Linked DNA regions of Caenorhabditis elegans. The protein of the gene in region 4 binds, or shares a complex with, the protein of the main gene of each other region. Each region holds a gene or a part of one and is shown on either strand. Other genes may lie near its edges. The genes, in order: dpl-1, lin-9, lin-35 and lin-52.

Evidence for each region.
Region 1: lin-52 (region 4) and dpl-1 share a complex: the UniProt entries of both Caenorhabditis elegans proteins name them as parts of the DRM complex.
Region 2: lin-52 (region 4) and lin-9 share a complex: the UniProt entries of both Caenorhabditis elegans proteins name them as parts of the DRM complex.
Region 3: lin-52 (region 4) and lin-35 share a complex: the UniProt entries of both Caenorhabditis elegans proteins name them as parts of the DRM complex.

The regions. Positions count from the first base shown.
Region 1 is NC_003280.10:9,167,907-9,173,332, forward strand, and holds dpl-1 (Transcription factor dpl-1), read left to right. Parts: upstream 1-2,003; 5' UTR 2,004-2,050; coding exon 2,051-2,059; intron 2,060-2,105; coding exon 2,106-2,441; intron 2,442-2,489; coding exon 2,490-2,755; intron 2,756-2,798; coding exon 2,799-2,867; intron 2,868-2,916; coding exon 2,917-3,014; intron 3,015-3,057; coding exon 3,058-3,171; intron 3,172-3,218; coding exon 3,219-3,413; intron 3,414-3,457; coding exon 3,458-3,642; intron 3,643-3,688; coding exon 3,689-3,850; intron 3,851-3,898; coding exon 3,899-4,157; intron 4,158-4,201; coding exon 4,202-4,305; 3' UTR 4,306-4,659; downstream 4,660-5,426. Other genes in the region: T23G7.2 (Calcineurin-like phosphoesterase domain-containing protein), read right to left, coding at 136-541, 597-716, 763-1,047, 1,100-1,188, 1,239-1,343, 1,394-1,486, 4,675-4,776, 4,828-4,893 and 1 more; sec-5 (Exocyst complex component 2), read right to left, coding at 5,416-5,426. UniProt on the Caenorhabditis elegans protein: Synthetic multivulva class B (synMuvB) protein. SynMuvB proteins are required to repress the induction of vulval development by Ras signaling and probably act by forming the multiprotein DRM complex that represses transcription.
Region 2 is NC_003281.10:8,899,281-8,905,687, forward strand, and holds lin-9 (Protein lin-9), read right to left. Parts: upstream 4,852-6,407; 5' UTR 4,846-4,851; coding exon 4,789-4,845; intron 4,680-4,788; coding exon 4,561-4,679; intron 4,512-4,560; coding exon 4,379-4,511; intron 4,339-4,378; coding exon 3,736-4,338; intron 3,692-3,735; coding exon 3,533-3,691; intron 3,058-3,532; coding exon 2,647-3,057; intron 2,569-2,646; coding exon 2,464-2,568; intron 2,418-2,463; coding exon 2,268-2,417; intron 1,513-2,267; coding exon 1,315-1,512; 3' UTR 958-1,314; downstream 1-957. Other genes in the region: unc-32 (V-type proton ATPase 116 kDa subunit a 1), read left to right, coding at 6,348-6,407. UniProt on the Caenorhabditis elegans protein: Synthetic multivulva class B (synMuvB) protein. SynMuvB proteins are required to repress the induction of vulval development by Ras signaling and probably act by forming the multiprotein DRM complex that represses transcription.
Region 3 is NC_003279.8:5,806,137-5,811,165, reverse strand, and holds the start of lin-35 (Retinoblastoma-like protein homolog lin-35), read right to left. Parts: upstream 3,458-5,029; 5' UTR 3,437-3,457; coding exon 3,379-3,436; intron 3,127-3,378; coding exon 3,031-3,126; intron 2,746-3,030; exon of another isoform or gene 2,669-2,745; coding exon of another isoform or gene 2,528-2,668; intron 2,220-2,527; coding exon of another isoform or gene 1,988-2,219; intron 1,944-1,987; coding exon of another isoform or gene 1,769-1,943; intron 1,724-1,768; coding exon of another isoform or gene 1,630-1,723; intron 1,527-1,629; coding exon of another isoform or gene 1,347-1,526; intron 1,300-1,346; coding exon of another isoform or gene 1,171-1,299; exon of another isoform or gene 1,164-1,170; intron 1-1,163. Other genes in the region: C32F10.4 (uncharacterized protein), read left to right, coding at 1,171-1,299, 1,347-1,526, 1,630-1,723, 1,769-1,943, 1,988-2,219, 2,528-2,668; vps-51 (Vacuolar protein sorting-associated protein 51 homolog), read left to right, coding at 3,925-3,983, 4,027-4,201, 4,253-4,414, 4,474-4,905, 4,954-5,029. UniProt on the Caenorhabditis elegans protein: Key regulator of cell division which acts as a transcriptional repressor and negatively regulates cell cycle progression in its active unphosphorylated form, but allows cell cycle progression when phosphorylated.
Region 4 is NC_003281.10:9,823,341-9,826,942, forward strand, and holds lin-52 (Protein lin-52), read right to left. Parts: upstream 1,411-3,602; 5' UTR 1,404-1,410; coding exon 1,298-1,403; intron 1,245-1,297; coding exon 1,071-1,244; intron 1,024-1,070; coding exon 818-1,023; 3' UTR 743-817; downstream 1-742. Other genes in the region: arl-5 (ADP-ribosylation factor-like protein 5), read left to right, coding at 12-72, 160-320, 369-634; ZK632.9 (uncharacterized protein), read right to left, coding at 1,785-1,785, 1,841-1,974, 2,024-2,077; UPF0057 membrane protein ZK632.10, read right to left, coding at 3,308-3,355, 3,572-3,602. UniProt on the Caenorhabditis elegans protein: Synthetic multivulva class B (synMuvB) protein. SynMuvB proteins are required to repress the induction of vulval development by Ras signaling and probably act by forming the multiprotein DRM complex that represses transcription.

The DNA.
Region 1 (5,426 bases), on a different chromosome or scaffold from region 4:
ATCAATAATGTTAAAATAAATTGGAGCAAAGAAGACACTTTTATTTCAGACAGACAGATCAAATAAATTACAACGAAATCATACAGAAAATAGTCATCGAACCGTTTTAATGAGAATTTTACATTTTACAACACATTATTCTCCCAGTAATTCCAACACCCAAACTTCGCTCATTCCAATCATTTTCATGGGTGGTCCTTGATACAATGATCCTGCCATTACCATCAATTGACCTCCAAATGGAATCTCATAGAGTCCATAAAAGTATGGTAGAAGCCAATAAACTACTGGAATAACTACGTAGAATTGTCCTGCATGAGTGTGTCCAGATAAGACAATATCAATTTCTGATAATTCTTTCGGATGATCTACGATGAATTCTCGAATTGATGCCGGATTGTGTGCCATGACGATTTGAGAAGTATTTGATGGACATCGATGGATGGCTTTTGGTAGATCCATTTTAGTGTTCAAGATTCCAGATTTCGGACTTGAAATATCGTTTACTCCAGCCAAACAGACTCCTTTCAGCATTGTACTTCTGAAAAATATCACTGTTACTTCCAAGAAAAACTCAAAAACTTTGTAAAACTTACTCGTTTTCAAGAACATTAATACGGCCATTTTTGTAGAATCTTATCCATTCCTGAACGTCTCCATAATAATATTCATGATTGCCAGTTACGAAATAAGTAGGTGCGTGAGCAGGGAGTTGACTGAAAACAAAAATTGAAATTTTGTGAATCAAACTAATTCGCCTACAGAATTGGTCGAACTCTATCCTCGATTTCCGCAACAGGAGCATCTACCATATCTCCAACAATCAGAATAGCATCAACTGGATTTTCAAGCACTTTTTCGACAACTTGATTGATTTGTTCCGAATAAACACTTGCACCAGCGTGCAAATCAGAGATCACTGCCAATTTTAATCGATTTCCATCAGCAGTGAAGTTTTTTATTTTGATGGTCTTTTCTTTGACAACAATCCAATCGCGTGATATAAACATACTGACTGACAGAAGCAAGGTGATTATCATTGTGAATCTGAAAATAACATTTTTAATGATAAGTTCCGAAATGAGATGTTTTTTGTTACTTTATTTGAGATCTTCTTTTCCACATGAGATCGTTAAAATAAGGAACCTTTCCTATTATTTCCAAAATCGAAGCGGTGTAATGGAACATCTGAGAAAATTTTTTTAAAATAATTTAAATATTATTGAAATTAATATTACCTTCATTTTTCCAGCATAGAAATTAACAATCCCAAATCCACATACGAATGCAATCATGTTAGTCCATATTCCCGCGCAGATTGAGGTGAGATCGAAGAGAAGCCACTGAAATGCAAGAGACTCTTTTAACAGCAACACAATTTCTAAAAACAAACCTGGAGAAATGCTGGGGCATAATACATAAAATAAATCGCTTGTCCGAGAACTAGGAAAATAATAAGGCCATCCGAGCATCGTTTCCGGATTGTCTGAAATGAGAATAGGTCAGTTTTTGGTGAGAAGAAGATTTAATCGATTTGAAGAGAAAAATAGTTATGGTCTTTGAAATCGTAGCAGGAAAACAAAATAAATTTTTATTTAAAAGCAAATTCTTGTTTTGCTAACTTTTTCCAACAAGAATATTGCAATTTGTTGAAATTTCAGTGTCGAACGAAAAAAAAAGAAAATTTTGTTCAGCAACAACACTCCGCCTTGACACCTCTCGCGTTGTTTATCGTCATTGATGGGTCTCGCAACGCACGGCGCGTCTTCAAATTTGGGTTTTTTCTGTTTTCCTCCATCTTCCGAATATTATTGATTTCTCTCACGTATTGATCAAAAATTGTTCTGGTTAACGTTTGTATTGCAGCGTTCTTAAAAACCGATAAAATTTAGATTTAGAACAGAAAAGAATCAGTTTTTTACGATGGCAACAAAATATCATTCATTATTCTTATAATTAACACTTTTCGTAGCTTTTCTCGTAATCAAAGTCATCATTTACAGATCTAAGCAATCGAAAATCTTGATTCGTCCAGGCAGGTCCTGTAGAAATGAACCCGGTTTGTAAAATAAGAAATCGATATTATATTAAACTAACATTTGCAGACAAACTACGATCCCCGTATCGGCCAACCGGCACAAAGTCGACCACAAGTATCCCTGAGTATGGGAAGACGAATTGTTCAAATGCCTACAGGTCTTCCTCGTTCATACCAAGATGAGAGTCACAATGAACCTGTGGGCTGGGATGAACCTTCGGGAGTTGGAGGATCTAGTGGAGCAGGAGGTCAACAATCTGACAAACCAACCGGACTCAGACATTTTTCCACGAAAGTTTGTGAAAAGGTGAAAGAAAAAGGATTGACGAATTACAATGAAGTGGCTGATGAACTGGTAGCAGATTACTTTCAAAATAATCTTATCAAGCAGATTGATGTTGTGGTAAGAAGTTTGTTTTTCTTCTTTTGAAAAAAAACTTTTTTTTTCTAGAAACAAGAATACGATATGAAAAATATTCGGAGGAGAGTATACGATGCGTTGAACGTTCTTTTGGCAATGAATATCATCACAAAAAGCAAGAAAGATATCAGATGGATTGGACTTCCTGCTTCAGCTTCACAAGAAATTTCGAGATTGGAAGAAGAGAAATCGCGACGGGAAGCCAGCATAAGTTCCAAAAAGCAGGCTCTCGAAGAAATGGTATTGCAAATTGTTTCTTACAAAAATTTGGTCGAACGGAATAGAAAAAATGAGCAGTACGTTTGAGTGTTAAATATTTTAGAAAAGTTAAATTTTCAGCAAAAATGGTCGCCCAGAAAACGACACTGTACTTCATCTTCCGTTTTTAATAATTAATACTGATAAAGAGTAAGTTGAAATTCCAAAATTATAATAGTCTCAAATATCTATTTTTAAGAGCAAATGTGGAATGCAGTGTATCATCAGACAAATCCGAATTTCTGTTCTCGTTCGACAAGAAGTTTGAAATTCACGATGATTTCGAAATTTTAAAAAGTAAATTTAAATGCCAAAAACCGATAAGATCCACATTTTTCAGAGTTGAACCTTGCATGCAGTTTGGAGACTACAAATCCCACAGCGGAAGAAGTCAAAACTGCGAAAAGCTTTTTGCCAACCTTACACCAGCACTATGTCGACGAAATCATTGCCAGTAAGTATTTCTTTTTAAAAATCAATCATGGAAACCACAATTTTCAGACCGTAAAAAGGTTGAAGCAGAAAAAGAGGAAAAGAGAAAACAACAACAGTTGATTGCTGATCAAATGTCTATGAACCTCTCACAAGCCCAATACGTTGAGCCGACAAGCTCTTTGGCGCAAATGTCATATTCATCGCGATTCAACAGACAGCTTCAGGAGCATTTGATAAACGATGGAAGTGAGGACAGAAGTGGTAAAAAAGTTTTTTAAAAACATTAAAAAAATTGTTTTTTCTAGCTGCTGCCGGTATAATGGAACGCGATTATGATATGGATAAGAATGTTAATCAGGGATCAGCCAGCCGAGGGCCAATGTATAATACTTATAGTCCACAAAAGATTCGAGCTCAAGTTAACACGCCTCTTCAAGTACCACCCGTTACCAAACGATATTACGTACAGAAGACACAAGGACCAATGAAGGTTTGTTCAAAATGAAGATTTTTCAGTACAACTAAAACATTTTCAGCATGATATGACTCCCGTCGTTCGAACTGTCAATCGGCCGTACTCTACTGTACCTCCAGATCGCAGGCTCTCAACTGGAGCTACTTCTGTGAATTCAGGACCTGTAAAATACTACGTGCCACAAGGACATCAACCGATGCATCAGCCAGTTGGTCAGAGATATGTAAGTTCGTTTTAAAGATTTCACAAACTGATTTTTCTTATTTTTCAGAGAGTTCGTCCACAGCAACCACAAATGAGTCATATGGGTCAGCCACATCAAGTGCAACAGAGAGTTGTCTATCCTGCTGGAAGCATTTCTGGACATCAGTTACAACCTGGACAACGAATCGTAACTCAGCGAATTGTTGCTCCAGGTGGTCCACACCCGCCGGGCACAATTGTTCGGAAAGTGATTCGTAAAATTGTTGTCAACAATCCAAAGCAATCTCCAGCTCAACAAGTTATACAAAAGAAAATGATGGAGCAAGGTAATTTAAATTTGCCTTAAATAATTTAAATAATTTAATTTCAGATATGTGCACATTTGAACGCAAAACGGAACAGCCGATGACTTCTGCGCAGGCCGCTGCTCTCATTCAACACCCTCAACCGGAGGAATACGATTATTTCCAGTAAATGTTTAATGTAACTAGTTGTTATCCCCCTTTTCCCAGTTTTTAAAGGTTCTCAAACGATTCTCATCTGCTTTTAAAATAGTTTCTATACGAGTTTCAATTTTATTTCTAGACTCCTTTAAAATCCCCTCTTCTTTAATCTTTAAAATAGTATAGTCTTCTTCGTCGATTCTATTCCGACATTTGCCAGATTAGAATTGACGACAGATTTCATAATCTACCTTTTACATTATTATTTTGTGTTCAATTTGACATTTTGAAATATGCTTCTTATATGCCCCGACTTTGACAGCATTATATGTAACTCAATGCTCCCGATTTTACCATCATTTTTTATGAAAGAATGATAGATTATAATTTTTAGTTTTACCTGCATTTTTCGGCGATCCAACGATTTCTCCTTGACAATGTCATCGTCGAACCATCTCATCAGCTGGCCGTATGCAAACACATTTAACAGAGTTAAAATGCACTTTAATTGGATTAAATTAATTAGATTTTTTAATTAGAAGAAGCAACTCACTTCAATGCGGAACACGGCAATGACTCGACGGCGGTTACCAACTAAATATCCTTCCACTGATTCAATCTGGAATATGATATCTTATAGAAAAAACTGGGCTTATGTAAATCAACTCACCCAAAATCTTGAGCAATACGTGAGCAGAATCCAGGAGATAACCGAGCCAAAAACGAGAAATCGCTCGAAACTCATCTGAAATTGAAACTGCGAAGACATACTCACTCGAGATCTTTTTTCTGATCGCTTTTCCTGTTTAGCATAGAATTGTCAATGTTCTCTCTCAGTTTATCGCCCAAACTCATCTCCTTACATCCGATTTCTATCGGGAGAAGGAGAAAATTTAGAGAATGACCATTTCAAAAGTACGTGGAAGCGACTGGATTATCGGCTGTGTTGTACGGGATGAAAACATAAGAATAAGTTCAAAGAGAAAAGCGAAACTTTATTATTACAAATAAATAATACAATTTAAATAATTTAGATATAGATTTTTACAGGGCTTTAGTTCTTTTTTAACAATTGGCACTAAAATTATGATGAATATTGTAATATCACAGAAAAAATTGAAAGCGTTTTTAATAAATTGATCTAGATGTTGG
Region 2 (6,407 bases), 920 kb from region 4:
CATCACAAAGAGATTTTTGAATCCTTCGACCAGTGTTGGAAATTTAGTGAATTCCTGGCTGAAGGCATCCGAGATTTTGTGGGCGGTATCGGTGGACACGATTAGAACACTCTCACGGACTTTTGAGAGTTGCGTTGCTAATGAGCAACTGCCTGTCGTCTTTCCGACACCTTTTCAGGCTACAAAAATCCGTTTTAGCGTTTTTTGTTCGAGAATATTCTCGATAGAGGCTTCCAACTGATCTACCATGCTGAAAAAAGTATTTATTGTATTTGAAAAAATAATCAAATTGATTTTGGAGCAATACCAGAGAAATGGAGAAATACGGAGAGAAGCAAATAGATTTTTTGTTAATTTTTGCAGCTAAATATAAGAATGATATCAATGTACTTGAAACATTCAAAAATTTCATAAAAGATTAACAGAAATTTTTTAAATTTTAACTATTTTTTCAAATTTTTTAAACAGTTTTAAATGTATTTTTGTCGGTTTTCAGTGAAATTTTTGTTAAAAAATAAGAAAATTAAGAAAAAAAGCTAAAAATGACTTTTAAAAAAATTGAAATTCGTTTTTTGGCGCAAAAAGTTAAAGGGACATGAGATTTCGTAGGGAGCGGGTCTCGCCACGATTCCTCCTATTTTTATTTTTACTTTCAAACGAAACAACGAAGCTCCGAAATAACGCATTCGTGATAAATTTAATAAAGAAATTAGCAGCAAAACAGCAAAAAATGCGAATGGAATTCAAATACGAAGCAAGGCGCGCAACACACTATAAAAATTGATCAAAATTACGCAGCAAAGACAGTTTAAAACTACAGTAATCTTTGAAGGCGCACATCCGTTTGTATTTAACAGACATTTGTCGTGACCAGTTACCGTACTTTTAGCGCTCACTTTTGTGTCCGGGCTAATATCTTCTCACCGCTGGCAAACATAATAAAATGAAAATTCACCTGAAACTTTAAAATTTTATTTATTTTCTAGACAGTCAGTAAAATAAAAAATAGTGGAGTATAACTGACAAGGGTTTCGTTATTTGGCTCGTTTTTCTCGAAAACTGATGATGATGATGATGACAATGAGGAAGAAAATAGAATTTTGGCACATTCGAATTATCAAGGTTGAACTACTTTTAAAAAATAAGAAAAATGGGGATGTGTCTCATGATCGGGTACAATTTTGAAAAGACACAAAGTGATTGAAGAAGGTGGGGAGAGAGAGAGAGCAGAGATGAGAGAACTGAGAATATTCAGAAAAACAAAAACTGACGGGACCGGTTGGCGTTTTTTTGGACAAAATGAGACGCTTTTAGTTATTTTCTGTTCGATACAGTTCCAGCTAGTGCTCCACTTTCGAGCATAATTGTGTGAAATTGTTTCATATGAACTTCAACGTAGTCTTGGAAGAATGCCACGTTGCGGGGGTGAATAGCGGTCCGAATTTCAGATATGGCGTCACCAAGTGATTGAAGATCAACTGCAGAGATCTTTTGAGTTCCCATTGTGCGAACCTGGAAAAATATAATATTTTTTCTAATATTTTTCTGCAGTAAAAAAATTTTTTAATAGTGTTTTACCGATGACCAGGTAATTTTGAATTCTAGGAAACAATTTTAGTTTTTTTTTTGTAAAATAGTAATTTGTAATTAATTCTAATGGGACGATGCAAGTGAACACGTGTATTCAGCTCGACCAACGCCTCGAAAATTTTCAAAAAAGGCGGGAAAAAATATTTGAATTCGCCAAGAGGAATTTCACCGCAGCGCGTGACGGTGTTTGCACAAATTACACCGAATGGTCGAGCTGAAAACACGTGGTGAATTTCTCGTAATTTCTCGACACATTTTTTGCAATGCAAGTGCGCGGAGAAATGACGAGAAATGTCGTGAAATTTGCAATTTCTCCGCATTTCTCGACATATGATGAACGGTGAGATACGCAGAAACATGTGTCCCCGCAGGAAACTCCGCCTACTCACCGCACTTTTAACAGGGTGAAATGTCTTACCACCCTGCGAGGACACATCTCATATGTCGAGAAACGCGTAGAAATTGCGAATTTCACGACATTTCTCGTCATTTCTCCGCACACTTGCATTGCAAAAAATGTGTCGAGAAATGACGAGAAATTCACTTGCATCGTCCCATAATGAAATTAGGAAAGAGGATTTGGTAAAAACCGAAGTTTATTTTCTAATGAATTTTTACATTTTCAATTTTTTTTTTCATTAATAAATTATTATTCTGCAGTCTATAGTGCCACAAACCTGTAAAAGGACAGCTGTCAATGATTGAATAAGTGTCAACGCATGCACATTCTCTACATTTAATCCTTGATTACAGTGCTCTACAAATCTTCCAGCTTGTTGAGAGCACATTTGTCTAACTGCTTCAGGTTTCATATTTGACGTTGAAATCTGCAAACAAATAGATCTTTCGAAGAATCAGGAAATGAAAAATTACATCATTCGAAGAGAAATACATATGGTGATCTTGAATTCCATTCATATTGATATCTATATTCTGATTCACATGTTCCAGATCGATGATAGTTTTGGCGTATTTCTCCTGAAAAAAAATTGTTTTTTAGATTCTATCTAGTTGACTTTTTCATATATCAAAAAAAATTTCTAATTAAAAATGTACCTGAAAAGCTTTCGAATATTTGTCTGACGTCATATTTTGTATCTCGGCATCCGCATTCAATTCGTTCAATTGTCGTATCAATCCCTTTTTGATATCAATTAATTTCGTCAGTTTCACAAGATTCACAAGGAATTTCAGCGGGAAATTTCCAACCATTTCTGCATTTTTTCCATTTAATCGTTCGTCGTTCGGTCCCATTAATGGTCCACCACTTCTCTCGATTTTTCGAGAAACCAGGACGTCACGAACAAGATGTGGATGTGATGAGTCACGAACTGCTGCTACAAATGGACGAACGCCTGATGGAAGCTTAGAGTTGGCTTGTTCAATGAAGTAGGCGATACTCAACAAATCAAGTTTTCCGTCGAGAAGTATTTCCGTGTCACTAACCAGTGTTGGTGGGATATCTGGCTGAAAGAATAAAACATTGGAATTTATAGAATTTCAAATATTCAAATTTCCCTAAAACAAAATAATTTATGATCCAAAACTACCGAATATAGTAATAGGACGTCTTAATTTCCAAAGACTTCCTATTTTCAGCTAAATCATTAAATTTTGTCAATTTCTCCTAACACTTTTTATTGCATATTTTGGTAGTAATTCGATGATTTGAGCACATTTTAAGTCGATAAGAATCCTACTTTGATATTTTTGGTGTCTATCGACTTAAAGTGATCCTAAATCATAGAATTAAAGCGAAATAAACCACTAAAATATGCAATAACTGTTGAAAATGCAATAAGAATTGCATTCCAGCATGTACAAAATGGACAAGTTGGCGAAGTTCACGAATTTAGCTGAAAATAGGTTTGTGGCGAAATTTTAAGACATCTCGTTACAAAATTCGGGCGTTTTGGGTGATATTGAGTCTCCTTTTACAAACCTTGTCAAAAATAATTCTGAATCCTTTCGGAATGACAGCATCAATAATTCCAGAATAAATTCCATCGTAGGGATTTCGAATTCTCGCAAATACACGATTTCCAACCACCATTGGACGTGGAAGCTTGGCTGGAAGATCTTTTAGATCAATCGATGGATCCTGAAAGAACATTTATTGAAAATGATACACCTCTTCAGCCTTACGTTAAGATAACTTCCTTCATAGACACTTCGAATCTTCATTCTTTTCTCTTCCAGGTACATTCTTTCTTCTTCAAAAAACACTTTCGAGCATCTACGTGGCTTTCCGAGAAGTTTTCGAATCGACCGCCACTCAATACGCGTTAAATTCCAATTTTTCAGATTTGGGAAAGATTCGCGGATAATTGTGGCAAACTCGTTTTCTTCTTTGAAAATTTGTTCGTCGATTGCAGAATAGAAGAACTCGCACATGACCCATTGACGAGCTTTCTTATATCGGAGCAAATTGTAGAGTTTCTTTATATTAGCTCTCATAAATGTGCTCACATCTTCACTTGTTTGATTTTTATACGTTTTGAATTGTTTCATCATGGCACTTCGTTCTTGATCTGTACTGAACATGTTGAAGAATGACTGTGTATCTCGATGTTCTACAGCTTCATTTGTCATATTCGCAGGATTATCTAAATCATCAAGACCTGCTACAAGGTTTTGATGCATCTCAATCATCTCCAGATCCTTTGCGAGAAGATCATTACTTGGTGCTGGAGGCGGAGACAGAGCAAGAGCTCTGCGTGGAGGGCGTCGTTCTTCTTTTGGCTGGAACTTGGAGACATGACAACAATACAATTGTTTTAAAACTTACAATATATTCCAAAGCACAACTGGAAGATTCATAATCAAGAGCTGCCTTTGCGAGCATTGTTAGACTTGAGTTTCGGGTCAATGAGTTCACTGAAGGAGAATCTCTACCTCCATTCAGGCGTTTCGCGGGAGATCTGTAAAATCATAAGATTAGTCGGCCACTTTTTCGGAACAGCTTGTTACTTTTTGGGAGATCCGGTACGTTTGATACTGCGAGACGGTGATAGGTATAGTTCTTCATTACGATATCTCGATGGAACTTTAGATGTTTCACGGAGACTGTATGGTGAGCTGGTGCGATCCTGAAAATACCGAATGTCATGCATACTTTCAATATCTTTCTTTAATTTACAACTTCTTTATTTTTAAAAACACGAAAACCCAATAAAATCAATATTTCCAATAACTTACAGGATCAGACGTGTCACTTGCTGCCTTTTTCCGCGGACTTCTCACCGCAGACGACATTTTTATCTGAAAAATAACAAATTTTTGAATAATTTCAGACCACGAGACAAAAATCAATGAAAGAATGCGGACGCGCGCGCGCGAAAAAAACTTTGAAATGGCGGTTCTTTTCCCCAACCAACAGCCGATTTCAAACAGCGTGATGGTCTCGACGCGATTGCCCTGCGGCAGTGTAGCGAGGTACGGTGGAGCGCTGTCTGTTGGAAAACAGAACACAGCTGAGAGAAGTGAATGTGGTGGGAAACGGAAAAAAGGGAGAGCTGCTGTTTGACAGTCGAACGTCGTGACATTCCGTTTTTGGATTTTCTCGTGAAAGTTTTTTTTTTTTTTTTATTTGTTTTATTTCTTATTTGTATTGATTTTCCATCTTTCCTGGGTTATCATTAAATTTTAAACATGGTTTTACACAAGATCATGCGGTGAAACATGTTTTTTTCTTCCTTTCCGCATTTAAAACGAATTATTTTGTTTATATTGTTCTTCTCTTTCCATTCTCATGATTCATTTCTCTCCTTATTGGCAAGAAACATTATAAAATTGTTCATTCCTACTAAGTGTTTACCAAAATTTATTTTGGCCGCAAAGTTTTAAAATTGTAGAATAAACTTTTCATTAAAAATATTTCGTCTTCAATCACTCATCTTTGTTCCGAAAACATCTCACAGGTTTTTTCTTCAAAGCAATATTCTTCTTTAGTGTTTTTAGTCAGCGTTTTTCGTTCTGGATCTGGATTCTATGGTTTGATGTTACTTTGAAACACTATTTATAAAATCTTTTTGCAAAGAAACAATTCTCTTAAATTTAATACAATTTCCGCATCAAAATTGAAGTTTTTGTGCAAAGTTGACCTCTCGCAGCGTAATCTTATCGTTTTTTCGCGTTATCACCACTCAATCTCCCCCACTGCTCTACAATTATTTCATTTCTCTCAACCTTTTGATCGAATCGATTGAATTTCATAATATCCACGAAATGTGAGTCGCCCAATGTTTACGTTTCTCCATCCTATAACACTGCTTACAAATGGTTTCAGTGTTCAAACATTGCGGTGAATGAGGCAGACAATCAGACATTTTCTTTCTTTTAAAACCTGTCCTGTTCATTTCTTCCTCATCTCCTTTAGGTTTTCTTATTCGCCATCTGAAAGTTTATTTCTCTGCGTCTAGCTATTAGATCCTGGAGAATTACGCTCTAATGTCGATGACGTGTCGGCTGATCGATTAGATTGCGCAAATTGTTTCTTTAGTTTTTTCTAGATTTCTCTCCCTTTTTTCATGATATTCCAATGGAGCACGTTTGAGCGCATGCTCTCTTCTTGCTCAGTGCTGCTCCGTATCGATCCCTCTCCGTCAATATCTGGTCTTCGGTCCTGAGGCCTTCGCTCCTAGCCTCGTGCTTTTCTTAAATGTTTTCTCTCGAAAGAAGCGTTTTTGATTTTTTTTTCCTTCTTATTTTTGAAATCTTCATATTATTTCATGGAAATTCTTACAGAATCAACTAGAATGGGTGATTACGTGACTCCCGGCGAGGAGCCACCACAACCGGGCATCTATCGAAGTGAG
Region 3 (5,029 bases), on a different chromosome or scaffold from region 4:
AGAAGCACCATTTTAAATTTTCAACAAAAAATCCTATAATTTTGTGTACTCTTAATACTAATTGATATTTCATAAACCTTCTGAAACTAGGCAAATTCTCTCGTGAACAAAACCACTGATTTGTCTTGAAATTTGATACTTTTCCCATAGGTGCATATCGAAAAGAAAAAACCCAAAAGAGTGGATACCAGCTATATTTGAATTTATTGATGTGCATAGTAATAATATTACATTGAATTCATTGTCCCGCACACATATAAGCCCATAAATTGTGATATTTTTCGACGGAGAACACGAATTTCCGTTTTTTTCCCACTTTTATGGGTTTTCTATATTTTCTTTTTCCTCTTTCATAGTTTCTTCATAGTGAGACCTACACAACTGGAAACACTCAATGATTTACAATATTAAAGGAAATTTATCCAGATGGCAATGAATTGACCCAAGGATGTCAGTTTTTAAATTAATGAAAAAAATTTCAATTTTTTCAATTTTAAAGTAATTTCCAATAATTTTTAAAGAACGAATTGAATCCATTATATTTTTCCAATTAAAACAAATTCGATAAGTCACCAATTTTTTTTCGGTATTTCTATAGAAATACAATTGTATAAATATCATAAAAACCAAAAAAAAATTTCGAAATTTTTAACTTTAAATCGCGAGAAAAATAAAATCCAATTTTTTTTTGTTTTTGGTACGAAATTTGAACAAGAAATTTTTTGTTTTTTTTTGTCAAAAATATTTTTTGGCATCCTTGATTCTCAACTTATCCATATTTAATTGTGACAAATCAAGTAACGACGAAACTAAGCTGCCAAAATTGTTCTAGTTTCTTCCAACGTTCTTATCATTCTTTATTTCTCCACATACTCTCAGCTGATTCTAGTGCTCTTCTCTATTTTCAACGTCCCTCTCTCTATCTCCCAATGCCCTCATTTCTACAGTTTCATGCAATATTTACTCAACCGACACATGAAGAATTGAAAGGGGGAGAAAAAGAGAATCATATTGTCGTGACATCGACCATATCAGTCGTATGTCACCTCCCCGACTCTGCTTCTCCTTTTCTTTTCTCTCGTAGAGGTCTCTTGTTGGCACACTCAGACACACACAAATGCATTTATAAACCATATAAGCCAAGAAAATTGTATTGATTCCAGAAGAACCATGACAACCGAGTCTTCTCAAACGACGGATCCGTATCAGCACCCGCAACAACGGGCTGAACCACATCAGCCAACACAGCGGATAGCTGCTGAACCGGAGCCAAGGGTATTTTGTGGACTTCCAATTGGTGTAAGTTCAGAAATTTTGAATCTCAGCAAGGATTGAACATTTTTCAGGGAGCTGTTGGAATTCTCGGATCCATTCTCATGATATGTCAAATATTCGGACTTTTGTATCCATCTCCATTTGTGCTCTACGTTTTCGAGATTTCTATTGGAAGCGCCATGATGTTTGTTCTATCAACTGGTGCAAAGCGTAGAAAAATTGCCTATATCACTGCTTACATGTTATATCTAGTACGTTTTAAATATAACTCACAAGATTCGATGTTCCTAGTCAATTATGGAAGCATCAATATTCTCGTTAATATACACTTTGAGAAATAATTATCAATTTCAGTCAATGTACACATTTTGGGTGTTTTTCTTGATCCTGGGAGCAGTTATTGCATGTATTTATTTATCGGATAACAATGATAACATTTGCAATCCAGGTTAGTTTCAATACAATTTTCCGGAATAAAGAAACTGATTTGAAGATAACCAAAAGGATGTAACCACTGCGAAGGGATGTGTTCCAAAAATGACAACTGGAGAATTAGAAATGGTTATAATCTCATGTTTCTTCCTAACTGTTAGTATTATTGTTGCACTCGTCCAAATGCGATATATGATGATTCTCTACAACTTCCTCAGAAGAAATGCATACAGATTGTGAGTCCATTATTTCAATTATGAATATTCATTCAATGGTTCAGACCTCAACATCAGGCGTCAAATTACAATGTTCAATACATTGTACCAACACCAATGAGTCCCAGTGGTATGCCACCACCACCAAGATATACCGCCTACGCCCCACCAATGTCAAGTCAAACTGCTCCTCCGATTCCTACAAAACAACAACCTGTTGATAGCGAGAGTTCGACGACGTCGGCATCAACGAGGAGTGGTTCTTTCGTATCGACACCGATTTTGACAGTTGCCAATGTGAGTTTTGAAAATTTTTTGAAGCTTTATGAAATCCGTTTCAACGACTATTCATTAATCAATAATATAAAACTAAGCTATTCTTTCTATATTATAAGCTGCATTAGATAAATACGTCTTAATGCGATTATAATTAACTTCAAATAACCCGCTAAATTTTGTTACGGAGCGCTTGTAGTCGAAAAAGTAATACTAATATCAGAAAAATGGTTATTATTGGGAAACCTCCGATTTCCAGCAAATTCGAGCCAGAATGAGCTCTAAAATTCTTTCCCTATGACATCACTAAAACTCTGTAACAATTTCAGAGTGAACCAACAGGAGCTGACAATTCGGCGTTTACAAATGATGAAGATCCAACCCGACCACGTGCAACTTCTCGGCCGCCTGCATATAGTGACGTGGTTGAACCAGGACATATAACAGTCCGAAGTGACGTTCTTCAATAGATTTCACTCTGTCTTCTATGTATATTTTGACATTTGCTCGTGGTTGTGTGCAATAATAAAAATGTTGCTTGATTGGTAGCTATTGTTGTTAGTGACCTCTTAACTAGTCAGGTGACTGAGCGCTTGATAACTTCATAATTTCCTATATAAGTAGGAGATGATAGCGAGTTGTGATAAAGGTGATAATGAACTGGGGAATATCTATCTTCATAGAGAAAATTATTGGAAAAACGAAGGATGCTCTTAATATGTAAAACAAAGCAGTCATTTAGATTATCACATGAGGCTGCAAACCCTTGTTTTTGTTTAATATTTTTGAAAAGGAGAAAATAATCAGATTTAATATTTATAAAACCCCATACCTTGCTTTATATCTAAGTCGATTCGTTTTGCTGGTGGCTCTTCACATATTGTATCCGTTGTCTCCGTGCCGGCTAACACGGCATCGAATGGGCTTTCTGAAAATAAATCAATTAATATCTAAATTTATTTGCGGTAATTTGAGGCTGAGTTCTAAAAAATTTCTCTCCCTGATGGAAAGGCAAGTAAAATCTTGAACGCTGTTTAAAAAATTTCGAAAAAATCGAACCCTGCGCAAATTGCATTAATCAGTTTTTCTATTCACTGCGGCGGAGAAACTAGCTTTGATAACGCCTCACTTTCCAGACAAGTATAATTATACGCTTTGAATAAAATCATTTAAAGCTTACGCTCGTGAAATGGGTCAGTTGTTGATGTTCCAGGCTCATCGGCTGCTCGTTTCGGCATATTGAAGAAGTTTTTACCAGTCTGAAGAATATTTTTGTGTTTTTTATTCGATTAAACCCAAGAAAGTTCAGATAAAATGTAATCGAAATCGTTTAAAATTAGAGAAAGCAAAATAATTTTCAAGAACGCGCTCATTTTTTTCTAGTCGCGCGCGCAATGATGTTCCACAATTCGCAATAGAGCGCATTTGTGCACGTCCTGGAGACACCATCGATTTTGAGAAACTGAATAGGAAGAAGAGGATACTTCAGAACTTTCTAAAACTGAAGCATTAAATGTGATTAAAAATTGTGAATGTGAGAGAAATCGAGTTTGCAATTCAGAAAATGTATGTTCCAGTTGAACACATCTTACCTTCTACTTATTTTTTCGGCAACCAGCATTTCCCCCAAATTTCGTTCCCTTTGTATTGATGGTGTCTCAAATCTGTTTTTTTTCATTCTCGAGTTTTCCTGAATTTTCTTTAATTTTTCAGTATTGAATGTAAAATGTCTAGTGTTTTGGACGTCACAAAGCCGGATTTTGATGTCGAAGCATTTGTCGTCAAGTTAGTTTTCAGAGATATGCACTGATAAATATTATTAATTCAGATTACTCCGTGAAAAGTCGCTTGATGGATTAGTAAAAGAAGAGGAGGAGATGGTTTCAGCTGTGAGAAGGCTTGATTCAGATGTACATCAAATAGTCTACGAAAATTACAATAAATTTCTGACTGCGACAAATACGGTTCGAAAAATACAAGATGAATTCACGCAACTCGATTCTGTTAGTTTTCGAATAATAATAAAATCAGACAATTTTAATGTTAATTTTCAGGAAATGAAATCTCTCAGCCGAAGTATGTCGACAATATCGACTCTAATTGGGAATCTTGACGGAGTTTTGGGCGAAAAACGTGACGATATTCTACAATTGGGAAGCTCGTATAAAGTTGTGAATAGTTTGAAGCATATTTTCGATCTTCCTCATGTTCTGCGGGTAACATTTTTAATTTTAAAACTTTTTTTTCATATTGCATCAAACTAAACAACTTCCAGAGTGAATTCGATGAGCGAAACTATGGAGAAGTTCTTCGAATGTTCAAATTAGCAGAAGAGTCACTATCGCAGTATAAAGACGTTCCAACAGTTCAATTAGTTCTTCAAAAAAGTAAGAAAATTTATGATATGACGGAAAATCAATTAATGGATCAACTGCGAAATCCGGCTTCTGGTGCAGAATTAGTATCAGAAGCTGTAGATTTATTATTAACAATTGGAAGAGATGAAGATGAAGTTCAGAAAGTGTTGCTCACGTGTTCAGAACAATCTTTAAGAGTAGATTTGAAAGAATTATCAGCAAATCATTCGGATGTTTTGGATCTCGTTGATAAAGCTTCTGAGAGTTTTATTCCAAATCTCACTCTGATTGCAACAACTCATGATCGATTATTTGAGGATAAACGAGAAGATCTTATTACGGTTTTGAAGGTTTGTTAATTTAAAAACGATTTGGATTAAATTAAAGTTTTTTTACAGACGGAAATGAATTCTCTGCATGCTTTGGTTTCAAAAGTTTTTCTATCATCAAGTGATGCAAAAGACTGTTCAATTG
Region 4 (3,602 bases):
GGAATTTTCAGAGTACAAGATTATTGTAGTCGGTCTCGATAATGCAGGGAAAACGACGATTTTATATAATTAGTGAGTTAATTTCAGAAAAAAAACACATTAAATAACTTTTAAAAATTTAGAAATAATTTCTAATCCAAAAAAAAAATTATAATTCAGTGTGACAAAAGATCAAGTTGAAACGAAGCCAACAATTGGAAGCAACGTCGAAGAAGTTTCGTATCGAAATTTAGATTTTGTGATCTGGGATATTGGCGGGCAGGAGAGTCTACGAAAGTCTTGGAGTACTTATTATGTTCAAACAGATGTTGTTATAGTTGGTATGAATAACTTTTAGTAAATGATATTAAAATTAAAATTATTTTCAGTTATTGACAGTTCCGACACCACTAGGATTCCAATTATGAAAGAACAACTGCACAATATGCTTCAACATGAAGATCTTGCTCGTGCTCATATTCTGGTTTTGGCCAACAAACAGGATCTGCCCGGAGCAATGAATCCAGCAGAAGTATCCACACAACTCGGTCTCCAGACATTACGAGGTGCTCGGAAATGGCAGATAAATGGATGTTGTGCTGTGAAAGGAGAAGGATTGCCGGAAGCTCTCGAATGGATTGCCAACAATTTGTAGAAACGTTTATATTTATAAATTTCAAAAATTGCCTTAAACTTTGCCAGCCTCGTTTTTTAAACTCTCACTGTGAGATTATGTGATTTGCCAACTTTCTAATTGTGCTCTGTTAGTAATCAAGTTTATTCATGTGAATGTTAATGAATGATGAGATCATTATTTTTTGATAGACCACTATTCAATTCACTGGCTTCCTGTCGTTTCTTCCGCTACATTTTTCGGTGGTGTTGGCTGCAAATATCTCGGAGAAGCCGAGCCAGTGGGTTTCAGCACGTTGAGCAACTTTCCACGTCGGCACTGGCGAGCTTCTTCGATTCCAAGAGTGTACACCGAGTTTTGAATGTTTCGGATGAGCTTGGCGATATCGTCGGCTGGGCAGTGGCTCATTGCTGAAAGTTAAAAATTGAAATGAATATGGAACAATATGAATACGAACTATTAACAGTCACAGCATCTTCCTTGAGAAACGAAATATTCTTGTATGGCGATTCGTAACCTTTTGATACTGATTCGCTTTGAAATGCTTCTTCAAAATCGAGACATTTCATTGGAACTGGCTCACTTTCTTCTGGCATTGTTTCGGTGCATTCGAGCATCTTTTTCTGTTGTTCTGAAAATATTTAAAATTCGAAGAATCTTTCTTTTCTACAATATAATACCAACCAAGCATTTTCGCCTGTTCTGCGTTTGATTTCTTTTCGATCATTTGTTGGACGAACATTTCGTCATCTCCAAATTCGTATCCAATAAATCCTAGCGGACGCGACATTTTTTTCCTGAAATTACCGCTATATGTCAGAATTTAAATGTTTAGAATTGAGTAAGTATAGAGCTTGTGACGAATTAAACGTTAGGCCGCAATGAAGTAATTGTATTGATTTCTTCTTCTAAAAAATAATTCTCACAAAACAAATATTTATTTGATGTGAACAAAAACGGGATGTGAAGAAAATTACTCGGGAATTTACAATAAAATACAAAAAAAAATCGATTGCTAGACAGCCTAGCCGGTGGGTACTTTACAAATTTTAAATTTACACAATACGGTTAAAAATAATGAAGAAACGAGAAACAAGGTAAAAAACATGAATCAGTGGGCAGTCGGTGGTGGAATAGAGAAATAGTGTCGGGCAGTCACATGAAGAATGATTCTGAAAAATCAAAAATAGGAACATGGTCCGCAAACACGGTAGCATATTAACGCACCACTTCTCTTTTCTCTTTGCCTCTCCGTTGCTGGCGGTTTGAACAACCTTGCGAGTGTCCCCTCCTGGCTGAGATGCGTGCTTGTGCTCCACTCTGTCAGACTTGGTGCGCTTTCCGCTTCCAGTGGTGAGATCCTAAAATTGAAATTATTCAGTTTAAATACAATATATGCATTGCACTGACCGGTCCTCCGGTTTGCTCGAATGCGGCAGCCATTTCTTCAGCAGTCGACGACATCTCGTTGGTAATTTTCTGCAACAAAAAATTATTATAAAGCTTAGAGACGTGTAAGCAACACAAAAATGAGAGAATGAACCGACACAAGAATGACCAAAACAAGTGTTATCAAAGTGAAATGGACGATGATTGGCAGTTGCATGATTAGAAAGAAGTAGGCAGAAAAGGGAGGAGAGTGCCAAGAAAACAAAACTGTGAAAGAACCGATTGAATAGCATTTGAAACGATTGGAGTGTGTTTATTTGAAGGACGATAGTGACAAATCTAAATTTTGGCGCGCGTAGTGTTGACGAAGATCAAATCTATTTACAAGTGTAAATGTTTAAAATCGATAATTTGAAATTTTCGATTAGGAATAAGGCTGAAAAGTATTTAAACAAAGCTTCAATTGAGAAATACCAGAAAAATTCGTTAAAAATTTTCAACGAGTTTAAAGGAGGGCGCATTTGTGTGGAATTTGTGTGGCGTAGAGATTTCTTTATTGATTTTTCTCGTTTTTTTTTTTTAATATTCTGACTTATATTGCGTTTATCAGCCATAATAAATGTTAAAAAGGTCGAAAATGAGAAAAATCAATGGAGAATGAAAAACAACTCTAAATGAGAGTGCGTTTTTGTAGAAAAGCTCTACAAAAGTGAGAAATAAAGTAACGTTTTCAGGCTTTTTTTCAAGAATAGAAATCTGCCTGAATATTTTTAGCGAATCAACAGCAGACGGACAGTTTCATTCAAATACTCGTATTTATACATTTGCGTTGGCGCCAGAGACACGTGATGGATAGACGAGCGGAGACCATCGAAAAAAGTAAAAATGAAAAGAGACGCAGAGCAGCACATTTTGAGGGCTGACTTGTTTCTGCTAGATATATTGGTGCGGTGTCATCGAAGGCACAGAACAAAAAGAAAAAAGAAGCAAGAAAGAAAAAAAAGAAACGAACAAACAAGACAAAAAAAATAAATCGATCGGAACAAAGCACCGATAGATCATAAAATGGTGATAAATAAAACAATGTATATCGAAAAGAGGAATGATTTATTTTTTCAATGGAGGGAATGAACACAATCTCATTAAGGCCTTAGAATGAGAAAATTCGGCAAGTGATACAGTTTTTGATCATGGACCTGTGACAATAAGTCAAAATTGCAAGGGGTGAATTAAAGGTTTACAAAGGATAAAGAAATACATTTATGTCGTGGAGCGCAAAGTAGGAACGTGTCTTGTCGTGAGCATTTAAGCCGAATAAGGAGAATAAGCTGGTGGAGCGGTTCCGTGGTCATTCTGAAATAATTTTAATTTAAACATTTATTAAGCTTTGTAGAAAGACAACAAAGGAAACAGTAGGATGAATCATGGACAAGAAACCGACCCCCTTGTAATAAATTTCAAAAAAAAAGTCACCATTTTATCAAGATTCAAGGGTATCTGTTGTTCTGAAATTTGACAAATCACTATCTTTTTCCTTTTGGCTAATCTTTTTTCCAACTATCCACTTACAGTCTGCACGTATATGTTCTGAACGACAGTC